Linked DNA regions of Struthio camelus. The protein of the gene in region 1 binds, or shares a complex with, the protein of each later gene. Links are inferred from orthologs where the notes say so. Each region holds a gene or a part of one and is shown on either strand. Other genes may lie near its edges. The genes, in order: TOX4 and WDR82.

The links.
Region 2: TOX4 (region 1) and WDR82 share a complex: the UniProt entries of both Homo sapiens proteins name them as parts of the PNUTS-PP1 phosphatase complex. The link is inferred for Struthio camelus from reciprocal best matches to the Homo sapiens genes TOX4 and WDR82.

The regions. Positions count from the first base shown.
Region 1 is NC_090970.1:69,583-77,185, forward strand, and holds the start of TOX4 (TOX high mobility group box family member 4), read left to right. Parts: upstream 1-4,533; 5' UTR 4,534-4,919; coding exon 4,920-4,925; intron 4,926-7,216; coding exon 7,217-7,285; intron 7,286-7,383; coding exon 7,384-7,603. Other genes in the region: RAB2B (ras-related protein Rab-2B), read right to left, coding at 918-1,833, 1,986-2,078, 2,167-2,249, 2,372-2,439, 2,530-2,601, 4,150-4,195. UniProt on the Homo sapiens protein: Transcription factor that modulates cell fate reprogramming from the somatic state to the pluripotent and neuronal fate. In liver, controls the expression of hormone-regulated gluconeogenic genes such as G6PC1 and PCK1.
Region 2 is NC_090955.1:22,934,874-22,942,772, reverse strand, and holds the start of WDR82 (WD repeat-containing protein 82), read left to right. Parts: upstream 1-4,658; 5' UTR 4,659-4,911; coding exon 4,912-5,072; intron 5,073-7,899. UniProt on the Homo sapiens protein: Regulatory component of the SET1/COMPASS complex implicated in the tethering of this complex to transcriptional start sites of active genes.

The DNA.
Region 1 (7,603 bases):
CCCGGCAAAACCGTTTCCCCGCAAATTCATGACGGGAGAGGGGGAAAAAAAACCCCAAAACCACCTTTTTGAAACTCAAGCAGCTGTTTGTTGGGGTTTTTTTTTTTAAGGAAAATGGGGGGAAAAACAAAAAAAAGCAAAAATCCTGCTGCTGCTGTAAGTTTTCATCTTTCCCTATAGCGGAAAAAGGAAATGCTTGAGGAAAATGAGGAAAAAGCCCTTTAAAATACTTCATGTTCCTGTTTATAAGGCAGAACAGGTGAACGTGAAACGTCTGCATTGTTTAACAGAAAAAAAAAAGTATATTTTGTGTATGTGTATAGATATATATATATATATATTTTTTTTTTTTTTTTTTTTGCTTTTCTGCACAATTGCTGTGTTTCTGTTTTTTGGGGCGAGGAGAAAGAAGGCGAAACCCTGCGATTTTGGCCAAAGCGCTTTATCCCGACCGCTCGTCCTCCCCTCCAGCGCCGCACGTCGCGCGAGTGAAAAGAGGAGGAGGAAAAAAAAAAAACCCAAAACAACCTGCCCCAGCTCCAAAACTGATGCTCGGCCGCGAGTAGTTTTCCTCACCGGAGCGAAAACGTGTCGGTGGAGGGGGAGGAAACGGGACCGAATCGGGTGGGAAAAAGGGGGGGAAACAGGATTGAATCTGGGGAAAATGAGGAAAACTGAGGAAACGGGCTCAAATCGGGAGGGAAAATGGGGGGGAAACGGGGAGGAAACCAGGATCGAGTCGGGTGGGAAATGGGGAAAATGGGGGGAAATGGGATTGAGTCGGGTGGGAAATGGGGAAAAGGGAGGAAACAGGATCAAATCAGGTGGGAAAATGGGGGGAAATGGGATCGAATTGGGTGGGAAATGGGGGAAACGGGGAGGAAAGGGATTGAATCAGGTGGGAAAACGGGATTGAATCAGATGGGAAATTGGGGGGGGAAATGGGATCGTTCGCGGGAAAGAGGCGACGAGGAGGTTCGGGGCGGGAAATTCCCGTGCCGAAAACATCGTGGTCGGGGCTGGGCCGGGGGATTTACGGAGGCGGCCGGCGTCGAACGACGCCGCGAGCGGTCACGGCGTTTAAAAAAAGAAAACTGAAAAATCAAAAAAAGAGAAAAAAAAAAAAAAAAAAAAAGCTCGTTTACAGGCAGCGGAGACGGCGCTGAAGCGGCAGCGGAGCCGCCCCGGCGAGAAACGCAGCTCGAAGCCGCCGTCTTTTTTCCTCTCCTTTTCCCTCCAACCCAAAACGAAGGGGGCGATTCGTTCAGCAGCAGCCGGAACCGTCTCCCGAGCCCGGAGCGCCGTGTCGGGCGGCGGAGGAAGGCGCCGTCCCCGCGGGTTGCTGGGGACCGATTTTGATGCCGTTGGCCTGGAAAAGGAGAATCGGGGAGAGAGGGGAGCGGGAGCCGCCGCTTCCCTCTGCCCCGCCGGCTCCGGGCGCTCACCTCGTTGCTCACGTCGAACAGGCCCTGCTGGATCTTGCCGTAGATCTCCTTGGCCGTGTCGATAAACGCCTGCCAACGAGAGGCAAAAAAAGGAGGGGGGAAAAAAAGGGGGAAAAAAAAGGAGGAAAAAACAAAAAAAAAAAAAAGAGGGAAAACCAGCTGCCCCCAGTGGCTCTGAGAGGGGATTTCCCACCGGCGAGCAGGAAAGCATAAAGAAATATATACGTATGTGTATTTATATAACCGCCGGCCCCCCCCCCCAAATAATCCCTTCACCTCTTCGACGTTGGCCGCCGTCTTAGCCGACGTCTCCATGAAAACCAGCCCGTGCTCCCGGGCGAAGGCTTCGCCCTCCTCCTTCCGCACGTCCCGCCGCGACTCCAGGTCGCTGCCGAGGCAGGAGACGGATTCGGCCGAGGGGCAGGACGCAAGAAAAGAAAGGGGGGGTGAGGTGGGTGAAAAAAACGAAAAAACAAAAAAACCTCCCTTCTTAGAGTCCGGGACGAGTCTCCGGACTCGCTCTTGTTGTTTTTATTTAACCTCTTGTTCCCGATCAGCATGATGACCATGTTGGAGCTGGAGTGTTGGCGGGCGTCTTCCAGCCAGGACGTCAAGTGGTTGAAGGTCTCGCGCCTGCGCGGGGGCCAAGAGCGATTCGGGGTGGGGGGCGGCGGAGGGGGGACGACGTCGAGGCCGACGCGAGCGCGGCCGGCGGCGATACCTGGTGATATCGTAAACCAGCAGCGCCCCGGCCGCTCCTCGGTAGTAGGAACGCGTGATCGAGCGGAAAGACTCCTGTCCAGCCTGGAAAAAGAGAGATATTTATATATATAGAGAGAGAGAGAGAGTTTTTTGTTTTTTTCTTTTTAAAAAAAAGGGATGGTCCCGATACGCTGCTGTTTTTTCTTTCTCCCCCGCGGCCTCACCGTATCCCAGATCTGCAGCTTGATCTGCTTGTTCTCGACGCTGATCATGCGCGCCCCGAACTCGACGCCTGCAAGAGAGGGCGCGGGGCTGCCGGACGCGGGCTCGGAGGAGCCGGGGGAAACGCGGGGCCGGGCTCCGCTCCGGCCGGGATCCTCACCGATGGTCAGGTCGTGGACGGGCTGGAAGCGCTTGTCGGTGAACTGCAGCAGCAGGCAGGACTTGCCGACGCCTGCGGGCGGACGGACGGACGGGCTCCGGCTCCCTCCGCGACTGCTGCCCTCGATCTCCCCCCAAAAATACCTCCCCCCTTGTTTTCTCCCCCCTCTCCTACATCCTGGCTGCTCCCCACACCCCCAGCTCCCTCCGGCCACCGGCCCCCTTTTGCCTCCCCCCTCAATCCCCCCCCCCAAATGACCCCTTTCTGCCCCCCTCAGGCTCTTCTGCCCCCCTAAAGCCCCTTCCTGCCCCCCCAGAGACCCCTCTTGTCCCCCCAGAGCCCCTTCCTCCCCCCAGACCCCTTTCCTGTCCCCCCAGACCCCTTTCCTGTCCCCCCAAAGCCCCCTCTTGTCCCCCCAGAGCCCCCTCTTGTCCCCCCAACCCCTTTCCTGTCCCCCAGAGCCCTTCATGCCCCCCTAAAGCCCCTTCCTCCTCCCTTAGACCCCTTCCTGCCCCTCCAAAGCCCCTTCCTGCCCCACTTCAGGCTCTTCTACCCCCCCCCGAAACCCATCCTGCCCCCTCAGACCCCCTTTCTGCACCCCCAGAGTCCCATCCTGCCCCCCCAAAGCCCCTTCCTTCCCCTCCAGACCCCTTCCTGCCTCCCCCAGAGCCTCTTCCTCCACCCCAGACCCCTTTCTGCCCCCACAGAGCCCCATCCTGCCCCCTCCAACCCCTTCCTGCCCCCCCAAAGCCCCCTTTTGCCCCCCAAATCCCCTTCCTGTGCTCCCTAGAGCCCCTTCCTGCCCCCCAGACCCCTTTCTGCCCCCCAGAGCCCCATCCTGCCTCCTTCAACCCTCTCCTGCCCCCCTAAAGCCCCTTTCTGTGCCCCCCAGAGCCCATTCCTGCCCCCCCAAAGCCCCTTCCTGTGCTCCCTAGAGCCCCTTTCTGCGCCTTCAAAGCCCCTTCCTTTCCTCCAGACCCATTCCTGCCCCCCTAGAACCTCTTCCTCCACCCCAGACCCCTTCCTGCCCCCCAAAGCCCCTTTTTGCCCCCCAAATCCCCTTCCTGTCCTCCCTCGAGCCCCATCCTGCCCCCCCAGAGCCCCTTTCTGTGCCTCCCAGAGCCCCATCCTGCCCCCTCAGACCCCTTTCTGCCCCCTCAAAGCCCCTTCCTTCCCCCCCAGACCCCTTCCTGTCCCCCAAAGCCCCTTTTTGCCCCCCAAAGTCCCTTCCTGTGCTCCCTAGAGCCTCTTCCTGCCCCCAGACCCCCTTTCTGTGCCCCCCCAGAGCCCCCTCCTGCCCCCTCAGACCCCCTCCTGCCCCCTCAGACCCCCTCCTGCCCCCTCAGAGCCCCTTCCTGTCCCCCCAAAGCCTCTTTTTGCCCCCCAAAGCCCCTCCTGTGCTCCCTAGAGCCTCTTCCTGCCCCCAGACCCTTTTCTGCCCCCCAGACCCCCTTTCTGTGCCCCCCAGAGCCCCATCCTGCCCCCCAGAGCCCCTTCCTGTGCTCCCTAGAGACCCTTCCTTCCCCCCTCAGACCCCTTTCTCCCCCCCACAGCCCCTTCCTGCCCCACTTCAGGCTCTCCTGCCCCCTCAGAGACCCTTCCTGCCCCCCGGCCCGGTACCGGTATCGCCGATGATGATGTATTTGAAGAGATACGCGTAAGACATGATGCCCGGAACCAGGTCCGCCCAGGGCCGCTCTGTCCTCGGAGGCCGGCCGCCTCTACTCCTCCGGCTTCCGGCGGCGCTCTGCCCGCCCCGGAGGCCGCCTCTACTCCTCCGGCTTCCGGCGGCGCTCTGCCCGCCCCGGCGGCCGCCTCTACTCCTCCGGCTTCCGGCGGCGCTCTGCCCGCCCCGGCGGCCGCCTCTACTCCTCCCGCTTCCGGCGGCGCTCTGCCCGCCCCGGCGGCCGCCTCTACTCCTCCCGCTTCCGGCGGCGCTCTGCCCGCCCCGGCGGCCGCCTCTACTCCTCCCGCTTCCGGCGGCGCTCTGCCCGCCCCGGCGGCCGCCTCTACTCCTCCCGCTTCCGGCGGCGCTCTGCCCGCCCCGGCGGCCGCCTCTACTCCTCCCGCTTCCGGCGGCGCTCTAGGCAGAACCTGGGCGCTCTGGGGCCGGGGGCCGCCGGCTCCACTGCTCCTACCCGGCCCTGCCAGCTCGGCAGGGCCAGAAAAGACCCAAACGCGACTTTTTTCCCCCTCCCACCCCGTCTCCTAGGGGGGCTCCCGCCGCCGGCGGGGGGGGGAGGGAGGGAGGGAGAGGCCGCCTCTATGACCCTCGCGCCGGAAGTGGAGTGACGCGGCGTGACGCGAGGGCGGGGAGGCGGGACTTCCGCTTCCGGGGTCGGGGGCCGGAGCGCGTCGCGGGGAGACTCTCGCTCGGCGGCGGCGGCGCCATGGAGGTGAGCGGGGCCCGGGACCGGGGGGGGGAGGTGTTGTCGTGGAGGTGGAGGCCCCGTGGGGAGAGCCGGGCACCGGGGGGGGGAGATGGGGGGGCGATGAGGGGAGTTAGGGGGTGCTGGGGGCTACTGGGGGGGATATGGGGGGAGTTAGGGGGAGATAGGGGGTGCTGGGGGCTGCTGGGGGGGAGATGGAGAGAGTTAGGGGGATATAGGGGGTGTTGGGGGCTGCTGGGGGGGAGATGGGGGGAGTTAGGGGGATATAGGGGGTGCTGGGGGCTGCTGGGGGGGAGATGGAGAGAGTTAGGGGGATATAGGGGGTGTTGGGGGCTGCTGGGGGGGATATGGGGGGAGTTAGGGGGATATAGGGGGTGTTGGGGGCTGCTGGGGGGGATATGGGGGGAGTTGGGATATAGGGGGTGCTGGGGGCTGCTGGGGGGGATATGGGGGGAGTTGGGATATAGGGGGTGCTGGGGGGAGATGGAGGGAGTTAGGGGAGATAGGGGGTGCTGGGGGCTGCTGGGGGGGGAGATGGAGGTGTTGGGGGGCGATGGGGGGAGTTGGGGGGAGTTGGGGGCTACTGGGGGGGAGATGGGGGTAGTTAGGGGAGATAGGGGGTGCTGGGGGGTGCTGGGGGGGAGATGGAGGGTGTTGGGGGGAGTTGGGGGATATGGGGGGAGTTAGGGGGTGCTGGGGGCTACTGGGGGGATATGGGGGGAGTTAGGGGTATATAGGGGGTGCTGGGGGCTGCTGGGGGGGAGATGGAGGGTGTTGGGGGGCGATGGGGGGAGTTGGGGGGTGTTGGGGGTTACTAGGGGGATATGGGGGTGAGTTGGGGGGTGTTGGGGGCTGCTGGGGGGGATATGGGGGGAGTTAGGGGGATATAGGGGGTGTTGGGGGCTGCTGGGGGGGAGATGGAGGGTGTTGGGGGGCGATGGGGGGAGTTGGGGGGTGTTGGGGGCTATTAGGGGGGATATGGGGGGAGTTAGGGTAGATAGGGGGTGCTGGGGGGGAGATGGAGGGTGTTGGGGGGTGGGGGGGGAGTTGGGGGTGCTGGGGGCTACTGGGGGGGATATGGGGGGAGTTAGGGGAGATAGGAGGTGCTGGGGGCTTCTTGGGGGGATATGGGGGGATATAGGGGTATATAGGGGGTACTGGGGACTGCTGGGGAGGAGATGGGGGGAGATGGGGGTGCTGGGGGCTATTGGGGGGCGATGGGGGCTGCTGGGGGGTGATGGGGGAGATGGGGTGCTGGGGGCTGTTGGGGGGTGATGGGGGGAGTTGGTGTTGGGGGCTACTGGGGAGAGCTGGGGGAGCTGGGTGGTGTTGGGGCAGATGGTGGGACATAGGGGTGCTGGGGGTTACTGGGGGGTGCTGGGGGGGAGATGGGGGGTGTTGGGATCTATTAGGGGGTGCTGGGGGCACACTGGGGCGGAACTGGGAGCTATTGGGGGCACTGGGAGGGTGCTGGGGGCTGCTGGGGGCACTGGGAGGGTGCTGGGGGCTGTTAGGAGGGTGCTGGAGGCTATTGGGAGGTGCATGGGGCACTGGGAGGGTGCTGGGGGCTATTGGGGGGGTTTGGGGGGCACTGGGAGGGTTCTGGGGGGTGCTGGGGGCACTGGGAGGGTGCTGGGGGCTGTTGGGAGGTGTTGGGGGCACTGGGAGGGTGCTGGGGGCTATTGGGGGGGTTTGGGGGACACTGGGAGGGTGCTGGGGGGTGCTGGGGGCACTGGGAGGGTGCTGGGGGCTGTTGGGAGGTGTTGGGGGCACTGGGAGGGTGCTGGGAGCTGTTAGGGGGGTTTGGGGGACACTGGGAGGGTGCTGGGGGCTGTTAGGGGGGTTTGGGGGACAGTGGGAGGGTTCTGGGGGGTGCTGGGAGCACTGGGAGGGTGCTGGGGGCTGTTGGGAGGTGCTGGGGGCACTGGGAGGGTGCTGGGAGCTGTTAGGGGGGTTTGGGGGGCACTGGGAGGGTGCTGGGGGCTGTTAGGGGGGCTTGGGGGACACTGGGAGGGTTCTGGGGGGTGCTGGGAGCACTGGGAGGGTGCTGGGGGCTGTTAGGGGGGCTTGGGGGGCACTGGGAGGGTGCTGGGGGCTGTTGGGAGGTGTTGGGGGCACTGGGAGGGTGCTGGGGGCTGTTAGGGGGGTTTGGGGGACAGTGGGAGGGTTCTGGGGGTATTGGGGAGCGCTGGGAGGGTGCTGGGGGCTACTGGGAGCGCCGGGGAGGTGCCGGCGGCCCGTTGCTGTCCTCAGCCGCCTCCGTTTCTCTCCCTCCCGGCCGGCCGGGCGCCGCGCAGTTCCCCGGCGGCAACGACAACTACCTGGCCATCACCGGCACGGCTCACCCCTTCCTGACGGGGGCCGAGGTGAGGCGGCGGCGGGGGGGGGGGGCCGGTCGGCGGAGGAAACGGGGCGGTGGGGCAGCCCCACCTTCCTCCTCCTCCTCCTCCTCCTCGCCGCGCAGACCTTCCACACGCCCAGCCTGGGCGACGAGGAGTTCGAGATCCCCCCCATCGCCCTGGACGCCGACCCCTCGCTGGCCGTCTCCGACGTGGTGGGCCACTTCGACGACCTGGGCGACCCCGGCAGCGCCGCCGACGCCGGTTTCTCCGCCCAGTACGGCGTGCAAGCCCTGGACATGCCGGTGGGCATGAGCCACGGCTTGATGGAGCAAAGCGGCGGCT
Region 2 (7,899 bases), on another chromosome or scaffold:
AGCGGGTGTGCAGGGGCTTTCCCCTCTGTTCACCGTGGCACTCCTGCAGCGGTCACTGGGAAAGAGGATGACGGTGGGCAGAAGTGGTACCATTAGAGCAGAGAGCTCCATAGCAGGTTTGCTAGGCCAGCAAGAGAGAAAGGATGGAGTCCGAGTATCTTTGTTCGAGAATATGCTGAGCTCTGGAAACCCAGGAGTCCTAATTTCCAATACACTGTTTTCTGTATGTTTCTTGGAGAAGAAATATGTTGCTCTCATGACTGATTTGCTCACCAGGAAAGTGTCAACAAGGTCTCTTTGCCTTTGATGGGGAATGTAGCCTAAGGCCAAACACAGGGAAGATAAGTGTTCTGCTCAGCATTTTTTATATATATAGATCAGCATCATTAGCAAAAAAAATTAACTACATTTGACATATGCCTCTTACTAGTTTTTCTAGGTCACACTCCCTTCACTCCCTATATACCTTTTGAAAATGATTTTCCCATGTGCTGGGGATTGTGGGGAAGAAAAAATTTTGACCAGAAAAATCCTTCTGTAGTTCAGTGCGGAACAGTACTACCCTGAAGCCAAGTCCGTGCCAAGTCTACTTCCTTTCATGCTGCAATTCCTCAAGCTCCCTATTCCGAGTCAAATTGCAGTCAAAGTTGACAGTCATTTAAAATACAGAGGAGGATCATAGCATTCTAGAGAAGATGAAAAGTTGCCAGCCTTGACGACTGGAATAATAGAAAGGGGGCGAAATTCAGTACTGCAGAATACAAGGTCATGCTCTTTGGGATTAATAGCAAAAATGTATGAGCTCTTCAGCTGGAAATGACATAAGAGGAGAAAGAGCCAGGAATATTAATCAGTCACAGGATTACAATTACAGCTGCCTTCTAGGCTGAGGTGACTGGCTATGGGAACAAGGGGAGAGTGGCAGATGTAATCTACCTTGACTTCAGTGAGGTTTGTGGCACCATTCTCATTAGCAAGCTGAAGAAATTGGGCAAATATACTGCTAGACCGGCTAAAAACCAGCTCAGCCGCTGGGCTCAGAGGGTAGAAATCAGTGGCTCAAGTGTCCAGCTGGCAGCCGGTAACGAACAGGGAAGCCCTGCGTCCATACTGGGGGTCCGTGCTTCCCACAGCTTCTTTGGTGGGATAAGCTTCTGGAGATAGCACAGAGTGCATCCTCAGTAACTTTGTGGATGACACTAACTGGGGGGAGTAGCTGACACACTGAATGGTGGAACAACCTGCCAGAGGAACCGTGATAAACTCGAGGACAGGGCCAACAGAATCCTCGTGATGTGCAGCAAGGAGAAGTGAGAAGTTTTGCAGCTGGGGCAGGACCCCCAGGCATTAAGGCAGACTGGGAACCGACTGGCTGAGTAGCAGCCCTGCTGACAAGGAGAGAGGGGGTCTGGATGAACGTCAAGGGGAATATGAGCAACCAGTGTGCTCTCCTTGCAAGTCAGTCATGCTATGGACATGGCTACCCAGAGGGGTCGTGGTCTCCCTCCTTGGAGGTTTTAAAGACTTGGCTAGACAAAACTATGGCCAGCCTGATCTTGCCTTAGTGATAGTCCTGCCCTGAGCAGAAGGGTGGACTAGGGACCTCCGGAAGTCCCTTTTACCAACACTTCTGTGATGTAGCAGCAAGGACAGGGTTGGATGATCCAGAGCCTCATGCTTATTTTCAAAAGCCCATAAAGAGGTGCCAAGTTGTGCGCCACAAGCCTTCCACACAAGCCTTCAAACCCCGTCACTCACAGAGAATCATCACCCACAGCAGAGTCCAACAAAAAAGCATTCACCTGAGCAGCGTTGTTTCAGCAGAAGCATCTCACTGAAATTCATGTCTATTCATTTGAGCAAATGCAAACACGGGACTGTTTGTATTGCGCAGGTCAGGTTACAGTGGTAGGTAACATATAAATGCATAGGTAGCATCACTGCATTTGATCAATATTAGTCAAGTAGCAATTAAACCTCTTTTCTATTAACTAGTTTTGCAGGGCCACTCTCCATAATTCCTACATAATGTGACATTTTGCTAGAAGGTCCAATTATCCTGCCAGATGAATTCCAGCTTTGTATAAACTGACAAACTAAGTTCCAATGATTAGGAAGAAAGGCAGAAGAAAGAATAAAAAGGGAGTGACAAAATATCAAATCAACAACCCACAGTGTTATACAACTCTAAAACTTGGCTAAGTATTGTAGGTGTTTTGAAGTAAATTGTCTTATGATGGTATCGATGAGTCATCTGCTGGGCCCACATGAGATAATCCAGGCTTTGATCTTATAATTTGCAGTGTGCAGGAGGAATGCTGTTCTGCACCTCTCTAACTTAATCTTTCCTTACATGAAAATATATTTTAGGTTTTGAGCTGACCTGTAATGGGGTAGCTGACCCGGAGGCCTTCCGAAGTAATGAAGGTGTCTTTTGTTGAGTCTTCGTGGACGCCAGTGTTAAAATCGTGTATTCATTTCAGAGTAAAGCTTGTTGAATCCTTCCGGCCGGCCAGTCTGATCAGAATATAAAAGAGTGAATTGGACCGGAAGCGATCTAAATCTGTAACGGTGAGCTGTAATAAAGAAACTGTAAGAGCAAGTAAGCACAGAAAAGACTTTTGTTTTAGGAAATGAGCTATATGCACACGAAATAATTAACTCTATTCCAATGACATTTAAACAGACCTTTGACGATACTTCCCAGACATGCTGTTGTTTGACCACAGGAGGGCAATATTATTCTAAAAGCAAACTCTGTTCTGGGGACTAAGAAAGGAAAATGCAGTTAACATGTACAAAGGCATCTAGGGTTGACATTTCTTTCTTTCGGTTCTAAGCTTCTTGGGGACACAAGTAATGAAAGGTTGGCTGTTCTCCTAAAATTAAAATACCGGGTTGCTGGAAATTTTAATGGGGGAATTTTAAAGATTCTCACAGCTATTGCTATACTCCAAGAACAATTCTTTAAGATATGAGAAGTCTGAAAACATGATCATAAAACCTGACATCACGACTCACGAGAGCAAGAAAGCAATTCCACTGCCTTTTTACAGGAGCACAGGCCGCAACACCCAAGACATCTCGGAAGCCCCTGGAGATTGTGCCGCTCATCCCCATCTGAAGTCCTACGCCGTCCGTTGGTATAGCACTAGCATTTCTGCAATAGTGCGGGGAGGCCAGGTCGGAGAATAAAAAATCGTGGGAAATAAGACAATGTCTATAACACTTTAACTGGAAACAGAACAGAAGAATGAGAAAAAACATCATCACTGTGCATTTTAAAGGAAAGGGGGTCTGACTCTCACAGCGGGTGCAGATAAATATGGGAGCTAAGCCTCAAGGCTAAGGAAGCGCGCTGCGGGGTAGAGCCGCGTCCTGCTCACTCCAGAGCAGGAGGCCTGAGGAGAAGCGCTCCCGTTCGGTCACCGCGGGGAGCTGGCGGGAAGCGCTGGGGCCGGGGTACAGGCTCCGCAGCTGCAGCCCACCCCGAGCACCCTCGCTCCCGTTTCCTCACCAGCAGCGGGCAGAGCAAAACGGAACAAAACCCCTAGCGAAAGACATGGCCGGTAGCGAACGCGGCAGGTTATTCGTGGAGTAAAACTTTGTCGCGGCTTTTCTGGACAAACGTCGAGGCGCGCTGCTGAAGCCGCCACGCTAACCGTCCTTCGCTTTGCACCTGTTTCACCCGCAAAACCCACACTGCCACAGCAGCTTCCCTTATGTTTTTGAGGCGGCGCCAGGCCCGAAACCCGCCATCACGTCCGGCGCGCGATGGGAGCTGCACCCCCGCAGAAGTGGGGGGGGGGAGGCGCGTAAGGCGCCACGGTCTCAGGCGGCGGGGGGCGAGCCGAAGCGGGCGGCGGGCCGGCCGCGGCGCAGCAGCGCTCCCCTGTAGCAGAGCAGCTGCGCGAGGCCGGCAGGCGAGCCGGGGCGCAGCAGGCGGCCGGGCTGCGGGCAGCGGAGCGGGACGCGCTGCCCGGGCCTGCCCGGCGCTCCCGGTGCCGGCGGCGGCGGCCCACCTGCGGCTCGAGGCGGCCGGCCGGCCGAGCGCGGCGGGAAGTGACGTTCCCCCGGCGGCGCGGACGCCTGGGGCCGCCGCCGGGCCGGGTGCGCGGGGCAGGCCCAGCGGGGCGCGATGCCAGCCCCCCTCCCCCCCCCGGCCCACGCGTTGCCCCCGGTTCGGGGTGGACGTTAGCCCCGGGGCACAGAGGAGCTGCCCCCCCCCCTCCCCGCGGGCAGCCAGGCCCACACCCCGGCTGCGCCGGCCCTGCCTGCGGCCTGCGGCCACCCCCCCCCCCCGCCCCGGGGTGTCCCTGTCCCCCCAGGCGCAGGCTGCCTGCGCCCCTCGCGCGGCCTGGGGGACCCTGGCGTTGAAGGCAAGGCTCAGCCCGTGGACCCTGTGTGCTTAGGACTACACCGGCCTGTCCCGTCCCGCCCCGGGCCCCGCCGGCCAGGGGGAGGGCGACAGCCGCCCCACGGCGGGAGGGTAGGCGCCCCTGCTGCCACACTCAACATGGCCGCCAGCCCCCACCTCCGTGCCCTTCTCTATCCCAGCAGGCCGCGCGCGCGGCCCGCCGCCTTCCCACAACGCCCCGCGGCGGCGCGCCCCCCCCTTCCCGCCCTCCATCCCACAGTGCCCCGCGCGCCGCCCCCGCCCGTTCCCGGCGCAGCAAGATGGCGGACACAATGAGGAGGAGCCGCCTCTCCGCGGCCTGACCGGGCCGAGCCCCGCCGGAGGGCGCCCCCCGCCCGCCCCGGCCCGCCGCCCCCCCCCCCCCCGCCGCCGCCGCCCCCCACCCCCGCCAAGCCGACGGGCCGGGCCGCGCCGCGCCGCGCCCGGCCGCCGCCCGCCGCCGCCGCGGGGCCCCGCCCGGCTCGCCGCCGCCCTCGGCGCGGCCCGGCGGCGGCATGAAGCTAACGGACAACGTGCTGCGGAGCTTCCGCGTGGCCAAGGTCTTCCGCGAGAACTCGGACAAGATCAACTGCTTCGACTTCAGCCCCAACGGCGAGACCGTCATCTCCAGCAGCGACGACGACTCCATCGTGCTCTACGACTGCCAGGAGGGAAAGTGAGTGCGGGCCCGGGCCCTCGGCGGCGCCGCCGCCGCCCCCCGTGCGGGATGGGGCTCCCCGGGGCGGCCGGCGGTGGCCGCTCTCTGCCCGCCGGCTGCTGAGCTTGGGTGATGTCCTTTCTTCTTTCTTGTTCTCGGGCTAAATTTAAGCTCGTGGGTAGACGGGCAGCAGTGCGTGACAGGAAATATTTATAAACGCTTAAGGTGGGGCGCGGAGGTGGGAGCACCACAGTCCTGTCAGGTTTGTCTGCTTGTCTTTGCTCGCTCCCTTCGCTAGGCCAGAGCTACTGATGGTAATTGGGTGTTGGAGCGTTTTCCTAGCTACGAGGAATGAATATTGCTTAAGGTGAGGATTTTGAATCTGGTGGCAGGTCTAGGCCTCGGTATTGTCACGGGTGGGCAAACTGACTTCTCAGGCTGGTCTGGGTTTAAATCTCAGTAAGTGAAATAGAGGCAGTTGCGGTGAGCAATGTGCAGATGTGCCATTTTAAGTAGTTAGTCCAACTGTGGCTTCTTGGTTAAGTACTTAAACTTAAAGATGAGGGTGGCATGGTATGTGTCCAGAATAACTTTCAGAAGCTCTGTGACGTCTTCATTAAAACGTAGTTTCTAAATGATACCTGGGAGTGTTGTGGGTAAAGGTGATTCTCTGTGCTTTAAATCTTAATTTTTTTCTAGTCACCTCTTCATCTATGAAGTGCAGTTAAGATACGTATGTGACTTACATGCATCTTCAGAAATTGTCTAAATTCATATTGAATCAATTAAGATGTTTACTGATTGATCTTATTTGACGTTATTAATGAATTATTAATGAATTAAGAGGTATTTATTTTTCATTGAACAGAGTTGTGCAGTTATCTTCTTTCACTGTTCATGCAATCCTCGTCCCATCTTTTGGATAAAAAGCAGTAATTCGCACAGCCCCTGAAATATGGTTCTCTTGGTCGATCAGGGGATGCAAATATGCAGACAAGGCAATCAGTAACTTTTGTAGGTTGTGTCTCGGAATGTCTGCAAAAGAAGACATTTCTTCTTCTGTAAGAGTTGGACCAAACTGAGCCAATGATGTCATTATTCCATTAAAAACTTGGTGTTTGGATAATTCAGAGTTGCTTAAAAAATGTATTTGCATGTTTACAGTATTGATTTTCAGTAAAAGCTCTAATGTGCCATAGAGGGGTGGTTACTGGGCCTGGAATTGAGCTTGGGAAACCAAAGAGACTTGGCCCTTTGGTGCATCATGTAATAATGATTTTAAAAATTGAGAATGTTGCAATCACAGCTTTTCTTTGCATGTAAGTCGTTGTGTGTTTGGCACAAGTATGTGTTTGGCTCATTTAAGTTCTTTTAAGTTGTGTTTAAGTTTTAACTTTCCTGTTGTTGTGGAGATGCACTTTTGAGTTTTGTGGGGGCTTTTGTTTTTTGGAAAGTCTTGGGGAGATGCAAGCAGGCAGCGTGACATTCACATATCAAATAAAAGAAAAAGAGGATGCAGTTTGTAGGAGAGAGAATGAATGGGGCAGCACAGCAATACAGGAGTGGAAAATAAATTGCTTAGGGAGAAGAAGGAGACAGAGGTGTCAGTGTTGCATAAGTTTTACAGTAAGCCTGGTATTCCTAGTCGTTTTGCTGTTTTCAAGCAGACCAAGACATTGCGCTTGCTGTGTTGGAAAGAATGCATTCTGCTTATTCTCTTTATTTTGTAGAATTGTTGTTGTATGTTGTTTTATACTTCTGTTTAGTTTGCTTGCTTTACAAATTAACATTCTTGCCACTCCCTGATGCAGTGAGCTTTGATTTGAGAGGAGTTAGTTTTTATTTATATAAGAATAGGTAACATAATATGAATGCTATCTGCTATGGATAGTAGTCTAGATCCTAATTACATACAGTAGTAGAAGGGCTGAGTGATGTTAATGCAGATACTATTGATTCTTCTTCCCCTTTCCAACTTGTAAAGAGCAATTTGATGGGTTGGAAGGCTTTTGGTCCTTTCATTCCTATCTCCGTCTAGTCCTGATGTATGCTTTACAGTGAAAGGATTTGTTTCAATGAAGTTTGCAGTAATAGACCATCGATCTTTTACGTCTGTGTTACAGGGCAATGAGAGCATTTTCAGCAAGGTAACCCATGTTTCAGAATGCGTTTCTCTAGCGGCTGCAAAATTAATTTGAAAGTTGCTCGTGTACTATCAATTGACTTAAAACCATAAATGTGGTTTTTAGAGATGTCTAGGGATGCGGGGCACGCTTTTTTCTCATCTTAGAAAGTTTTAGCTGTGAATTACTTCTCTACAGGAGATTCATGTGGAGATGAAAAATTGAATCTGTGAATGATTATTGTTGTGATGTGGTGGAGTTTGACAGATTCTGGCCAATAGTTAGTTTTTTTTTCCTTTTTTTCCTGTTTTTTTTTTTTAAACAAACCAATGTTTCAAGGGTCTGGATCTCTCACCTTCTTATATATATCATTCCTAATGAATCTAAGGGCTGACAGAAGGCAGTTTTCTGCCTGCTGGGTTTCAGTATAATGAGTCCTACTTCAGCAGAGGATGGCCTAAATGGTAGAACTTTTCTCAGTGTAACAGTGGCAACATTTGGGGGTTTTCATTCCTTTTATTAGGAGCTCAGCTGATAGAATTAAAAGTGCAACTTTGTTTAGTTGCACTTTAAGTATGCGCTTGCCTGGTCTGCTGTGCTTTGCTGTACCTTAATAGCCCATACAAGCAAGCCCATCTGAGGGTACTTCCATTTCTAAATGTGTTAGGCTAGTTTAAACAGCTGTGCTTAGCCAAGAAATGACAGGATAAGGTTCTCTCCTT